Arabidopsis thaliana: one gene and its partner. The protein of the gene in region 1 interacts with the protein of each later gene in a pairwise test. Each region holds a gene or a part of one and is shown on either strand. Other genes may lie near its edges. The genes, in order: AT4G15770 and CBF2.

Region 1 (3,844 bases):
TTTACAAGATTACGTTTGAAAAGATGATGAATATCAATCCCCTACTCTTAATGTGGGAAATTTTCAGTGTACAACATATTTATTCAAAGAACACCCTCAATATCTTTCCCAAAAAGTTATGCAATCTGTTTCAGAAAGATTTCAGAACTTAATTGGTTTAAACATCTCTTCTCCAGATTATTTGGCAGCAGTACACAACCTATATGCCCAGTAATAAGTTTTGAAGTTTTAAATCAAAGCAAGCAATCTGTTTCCATACAGAAAACTGATTCATCAGCTTACAATTGTAGCTTCTCGATACTCTTGTTTGAGAACAATTGAGACTTTCATAGATACAATACCATGTTCCACAAAATTTGTGACAGTCACATACCCTTAATACTCAAAGGCCAAAGTTTGAAGCTTGAAAACAATTTGAAGCTTTTGGACTATAAAACCAAAGAAAAATCAGCATAATCAATCTGTCTCAAAAATCAGCATAATCAATCTGTCTCAAAAATCAGCATAATCAATCTGTCTCCAACACATATCTGAATCATTAGGGTTACAGATTTGAAAATTAGCATATGTATGTAAATTTCCAAAGTTTCAAGCTTGATGAAGAATTTGAAGCTTTTAAGTATAAAAATCAAAGCAATATCAGGAAACTCAACCTGTCTCCAATACAAATCTTGATCATCAGGTTACAGATTTGAAAATTCGCATATGAATGTAAATTTTTTAGCTTTTACATACTCAAGAGTCTCACAAAACACCTCAAAAACAGATTTATAAAAATCGAGACTTTCATAGATCCAGAACCAAGTTCCACGAAACTTGTAACAGCTACATACTTTAAAACTCAAAGCAACAAGCAGAATCAAACTAAGACACAACAAAGACAAAACCTTTAAACTTTCAAAGGTCATCTTCACCCCTCAAATACTCTCCAATATCAGCCTGATGAAGCACAACAATACCATTAGGATCCAATTTCCTACAATCCTGTGTACTCTTCGCAGCAATCCCAAACCCTAACGGAACATCAGACATCGAGAACACAACAACACCATCTCCAGGAACAATACTATCAGTAATCCTCCCTAATCCACCTTTCAAGACATGGTTCCCATAAAGAAACGACATCTCCGAAGTGGGTTTAAGCCATACCTTGTGTTTAGCATTCGCCGCCAAGATATTGAGTGACATAATCGTCAGATGGAAACTACCGGCGTGAGTGTATTTCCCGATGCAGGTTCCGAAGGAGACTAGGTTTTTCCTGGAGATGTTTGTGGCTCGCTTCACGAGGGCTTCGCTGACGTAGTAGACTCTGTTTTTCTGGAGGCGGAAGCAGTAGCTGCCGGGTGTAGATTCGGGTCCTTCGTCTGATGGGTTCTCGACGATCTTCTTGAGGTTGTTGCCGACGAATTTGAAGAGCTTCTCGAAGACGACGGTTGTCTCGGTCTCGTCTAAAGGACGCATCTTCGGGGAAGAAAGTGATGAATAATGGAGAAAGAAGAGAAGCTCTCTGTTTCTAAGAGGGATTGTGTTTTTTTAGGGTTTTAGGGATTTAGGACCAAACCTAATGCGGCCGATGAGTTTTGTTATTTCGACTTTGGTCCTTTGTTTTAAAAATATCTATTGTCATTTCAACCTCGAAATTATTATTTTTGTTAAATCCAACCCATGAATAATTCACTTTGAATATTTGGACTTTGGAGGATAACTGAAAGTTATAACAAATTTGATAGTTCATGTAGTTTATTGAAAAGATGTTTAGTTAGAGATTTTTTCATGTGTAAAAATATTATAAGGAAATCATACAATGAATTACTAATATTATAAGGGCAATTGACAAAACAAAAATATATTATTTTAGAAAAAGGTATATATATTTCTAATATAAATAAATACAATTAATTACAAATATTGTATAACGTGTAAGAAAATAATTGTTTTAAATATATATATATACTTCTAAGATTAAGTAAATTATACATTTAATCACTAATACAGTAAAAATATTAAATAAATTATTAAAATTAGTAATTCTAACACAAGAAGGCTTAAATTTTTCTTTTCTTTTTTTTCTCTCTTCAGAATTGGTTTCATATAACGATCTGTGTGATACACAGTTTAATTGATATATGAATCGACAAATACCAATAAAAATCGCTGTGAATGAATATGTATAGATAACGAAAAATACGCGGGTCAAGGTACAACCACGACATGCCATATTGCCATGTGGCTTCAACCCCCACATATAAGTCCACGACATTGCAGGACATAACGATCATAAAATTTGGAGGAAATACAAATATAGAAGAATGGAAGAATTGGACATAGTAATCGTGGGAGGAGGCATTGCTGGTCTTGCAACTTCCCTTGCTCTTCACAGGTTCACTATAATCTCCTCATTTTCTCAATTATAAGGTAATTTAAATTAGAAAACATATACATGAACTATTGACTAACTAAACATACAAATATGATTATAAAGGAAGGGCATAAAGAGCGTTGTGTTGGAGAGATCAGAGTCTGTAAGATCGGAAGGAGCAGCATTTTGGTATTCAGACTAACGGCTGGCTTGCTCTTCAACAACTTGGTGTCGCCGATAAGCTAGCTTCGTCTTAAGTCTCTCCCAATTCATCAGTAAGTATATAAATATTTATATTTTAACTAACCTTATCTAGTTATAATGATTTCCGGTATGGTACTAAAACAGGATAAGAGATGTTTTGATCGAGAAAGGTATTAAACGAAGAGAATCGGTTGGACCAGCATCCTATGGAGAAGTAAGAGGTGTACTAAGGAACGACTTGGTTCGAGCTTTGGCTCATGCTCTTCCTCTTGGCACTCTCCGGCTTGGTTGCCATATTTTGTCGGTTAAGCTCGACGAAACAAAATCGTTTCCGATTGTGCACGTTAAAAACGGGAGAAGCTATCAAAGCAAAGGCACGTTTTAACAACAGTAGATATATTTATTGATCAATTATTGAGGTGATGCCGTAGTGGAATTTTTTTAGTATATACTTTATATTAGCCGACAGTGACATTTATGGGTCGTGATCGGTTTTAATGGTTTGTGTTTTGTTTGTTTTTCACTGAAAGCAACATGTTTAGCATGAAATGCATGGGTCTTATATATTTTGATAATATACTTTTCTTTTAATTTAGGTTTTGATTGGCTGCGATGGGTCAAATTCTGTAGTCTCTAGATTTCTAGGATTAAACCCGACTAAAGACCTCGGTTCGCGGGCCATCAGAGGGTTCACAAATTACCCGGACGACCATGGATTCCGACAAGAGTTTATAAGAATCAAGATGGACAACGTCGTAAGCGGACGACTTCCTATAACTCACAAACTCGTCTTTTGGTTTGTTGTTTTGCGAAATTGTCCCCAAGGTAATTAATAACCCGGTCATGCTACATTTCATACTATACATAGACTTCTATTGTTTTCATATAACGCACTAACGTATTTATAATTTGTTTTATAAATAGACTCAAACTTCTTAAAAAATCAAGAGGATATCGCAAGATTGGCACTAGCATCAGTCCGCGAATTCTCAGAAGAGTGGAAAGAGATGGTGAAGAATTGTGATATGGACTCTTTGTATATCAACCGTTTAAGGTACCGTGCTCCTTGGGATGTTCTGTCTGGAAAATTCCGACGTGGCACCGTGACAGTTGGCCGGAGACAGTATGCACCTAATGGGCCCATTCTTAGGACAAGGATGTTCGGCTGCGCTTGAGGACGGTGTTGTTTTGGCTAGATGCTTGTGGAGGAAGTTAAATTTAGGTCAAGACGGTATAATTAATGTATCTTCCTTCTCTTCAAGGATGCAAATAGAAGAAGCA
Region 2 (3,655 bases), 4.0 Mb from region 1:
AGACCGTACACCATAAACAGAAATATGGGTCCCACAAGAGAGCACTGTCCGTAGCTTCCCCTTCATTGGCCCTCTACGTGGCTCCTCTTGTAACCAATGTCATGTCATTTTCAAGTTTTACTTTCTTTTTTTATACTAATATCTTGTTTGTCGTTTTCTGTACCTTAAGGTCCTAAACCACTTTCTTTCGCGCACCATTCCTTGTCGTATTATTTCTCCGAATATGTCAATACCGTGAGACGACAATTGATAGCGAGAGGTAGCGAGAGAGAGAAACGTTCGTTGTGAAGATATTTTATTGCTGTTGTTGAGATTTGAGATATTTTATAGCTATTATTGGAATTTGAAAGTGATGTATAACTTGCTACTATATCGGTCTAATCCTTGGCTTAAACCAGTTTTTATTTAGTAATTTTATGCTCCTGTATTATTATTCGGTGGAGTATTTTTTTCTCAAAAAATATATGAGTCGAGTTTAAGAAATATATAAGCGAAAAAACAAAAAAAATATATATAAGCGGGGTTAATAGATCAACCACAATCAATTTAATTTGGACTTTAGAATTAATAAAATTGTTTACTTCGTAATTATTATTATTTTTGTTGTTCTGGCAAATCTGATAATCCAGATTATTATTAGACAAGTAGCGAAGGGACGGTGAACATTTATGATTTTAATTTGTATGTTGTAAGGAAAACAAAACAAATAAGTTCTGTAAAAAAGGTTTACCTTTCTACTTTGCCGGAAAACTCAACTCACGGTGGCGTCCGGCGAGTTTTCAGACCAAAAAGAAGGTTGGAAGAAATGAAGATGAAGAGGAGAGGACAAAAGATAGAGATGGTGGTTGAACAAAAGAAGAGTAAAGAGGACGAAGACGCTCTAAGTCTAAGCCAAGGGGGAGAAGAAGAGAAGAGGTATGAGGAGGAACCATACTTTTGTTAGAGAGATGCTGGAAATTGTGATCAACTACATGCAAAATGTCTTTTCGCCTAACCACTTACCATATTTGATATTTTCCTTTTGCCAAATTACACAAACCCTATCTTGTCTCTCACATATATATCCAATTAATACACCCCTGCCACTTGTTAATTCTCGACCATGTATGTATACTTATGTAAAGAATATCCAAAAGCTTTCTTTTTGTTCCTTCGATTTTAAGCAACTTGTGTTCTCATTTCTCAATATCTTAAAGAAATCCTGAGTAAAAAAGTTTATAGCCTCCGTGAATCTTAGGAAATTACTCTAGCATATTCAAATTTTTTGAAACAATATATAAATTTTTCTGAATAATTAAATTTACATATCTATGCTACGAAACTTGATTAATTAAATCAAATATATATATATATATATAATAATAATAATAATAATATAACATTTTTTTTAGGACACAAATATCTAATCTCACTATACTCTAGAAGTATTTGCAATGCACGATATGTGAATGGAGAAAAGACAGAAAGAGCATTTGAAAATATCTCGTTTCACGGATCATTATGTCTAATTATTTTACCATAGAAAAGCGACAATTATAAACAATTTGTTATTCGTGGAAAAATAATATTTAATAATGGTTGTCGTACCCTATAAACTACAGCCACACATTCATACAATAAGAAGTTAAAAAAATTCATACCCTAAAGGCATCAACCAGTGAAGGGTCAGAAACTTCCCAAGATGGGTCAAAGGACACATGTCAGATTCTCAGTGATTGACAGCCTTGATAATTACAAAACCGTGGGATCGCTTAGCTGTTTCTTATCCACGTGGCATTCACAGAGACAGAAACTCCGCGTTCGACCCCACAAATATCCAAATATCTTCCGGCCAATATAAACAGCAAGCTCTCACTCCAACATTTCTATAACTTCAAACACTTACCTGAATTAGAAAAGAAAGATAGATAGAGAAATAAATATTTTATCATACCATACAAAAAAAGACAGAGATCTTCTACTTACTCTACTCTCATAAACCTTATCCAGTTTCTTGAAACAGAGTACTCTTCTGATCAATGAACTCATTTTCTGCCTTTTCTGAAATGTTTGGCTCCGATTACGAGTCTCCGGTTTCCTCAGGCGGTGATTACAGTCCGAAGCTTGCCACGAGCTGCCCCAAGAAACCAGCGGGAAGGAAGAAGTTTCGTGAGACTCGTCACCCAATTTACAGAGGAGTTCGTCAAAGAAACTCCGGTAAGTGGGTGTGTGAGTTGAGAGAGCCAAACAAGAAAACGAGGATTTGGCTCGGGACTTTCCAAACCGCTGAGATGGCAGCTCGTGCTCACGACGTCGCCGCCATAGCTCTCCGTGGCAGATCTGCCTGTCTCAATTTCGCTGACTCGGCTTGGCGGCTACGAATCCCGGAATCAACCTGTGCCAAGGAAATCCAAAAGGCGGCGGCTGAAGCCGCGTTGAATTTTCAAGATGAGATGTGTCATATGACGACGGATGCTCATGGTCTTGACATGGAGGAGACCTTGGTGGAGGCTATTTATACGCCGGAACAGAGCCAAGATGCGTTTTATATGGATGAAGAGGCGATGTTGGGGATGTCTAGTTTGTTGGATAACATGGCCGAAGGGATGCTTTTACCGTCGCCGTCGGTTCAATGGAACTATAATTTTGATGTCGAGGGAGATGATGACGTGTCCTTATGGAGCTATTAAAATTCGATTTTTATTTCCATTTTTGGTATTATAGCTTTTTATACATTTGATCCTTTTTTAGAATGGATCTTCTTCTTTTTTTGGTTGTGAGAAACGAATGTAAATGGTAAAAGTTGTTGTCAAATGCAAATGTTTTTGAGTGCAGAATATATAATCTTTGGTCTCCCCATAAGCAACAAATCAAAATATAATACTATTACGTAATTCAGTGAATTGAAAACAAAAAGTTTGGGCTCACCTGTAAAATTAAAGTTAGATGATTCTGGCATTTCCGTGTCTAAGAAAAGTTCTAGGCACTTATGTAAATAGCAAAAGTTCCAGGTTGGTTGATAGCAACAGTTTCTGCCTTTCTGCTAATTCAGCAAATATCAAGACTCAAGGACGTTTGGTAAATATCCAAAGTTCCGTGAGTTTTTGTAAATATGATAAATTATAGGCACTATATAGATATCTAACGTTTCAAAAAATGTTTGACCCAAAAAAAAAAAAAAAGGGTTTCAAAAAATGTCTGCAAATAAAAAAAAAAGGATGCGGAGACACTTTTAATTTAGTCAAAGCTTTAGGCAGTAATGTAACTGAGAAACGATCCTATGTAAATAGCAAAAGATACAAAAAAAAAATAAAAAAAAAAAAATAGCAAAAGATACAAGATAGTGATAGTGTATAAGTAGTATCAAGAGATTTATATACAGTATTTATGGAAATAACAAATGTTTCGAGATTGTAAAGAGAAAATGATCCATATAGTAAAAATCTACGGGATATTTTATTGGTGAGTAGCAGTAAAATCCGAACACTTGTATATAGCAAGATACCTACCCGGCAAAGCACTTCACATAAGTTTCGGGTACTTCGTTGAATATCAAAAGATCTAAGGCAGTAAGGCTCTTTGGTAAATAGAAAGTTGGGTAACGCTTTGGTAAATAAAATTTTGGGTAACTTGGGTTATATTCTTCTTTGAATAGCAAAAGAAGAAGTGAGCAACT

The links.
Region 2: the proteins of AT4G15770 (region 1) and CBF2 interact in a two-hybrid assay, tested with the Arabidopsis thaliana proteins (one large-scale study listed by BioGRID).

What each region holds. Positions count from the first base shown.
Region 1 is NC_003075.7:8,975,677-8,979,520, reverse strand, and holds AT4G15770 (RNA binding protein), read right to left. Parts: upstream 1,627-3,844; 5' UTR 1,462-1,626; coding exon 898-1,461; 3' UTR 577-897; downstream 1-576. Other genes in the region: AT4G15765 (FAD/NAD(P)-binding oxidoreductase family protein), read left to right, coding at 2,310-2,380, 2,483-2,548, 2,708-2,906, 3,160-3,388, 3,488-3,738.
Region 2 is NC_003075.7:13,014,450-13,018,104, reverse strand, and holds CBF2 (C-repeat/DRE binding factor 2), read left to right. Parts: upstream 1-1,869; 5' UTR 1,870-2,018; coding exon 2,019-2,669; 3' UTR 2,670-2,855; downstream 2,856-3,655. UniProt on the Arabidopsis thaliana protein: Transcriptional activator that binds specifically to the DNA sequence 5'-[AG]CCGAC-3'. Binding to the C-repeat/DRE element mediates cold-inducible transcription. CBF/DREB1 factors play a key role in freezing tolerance and cold acclimation.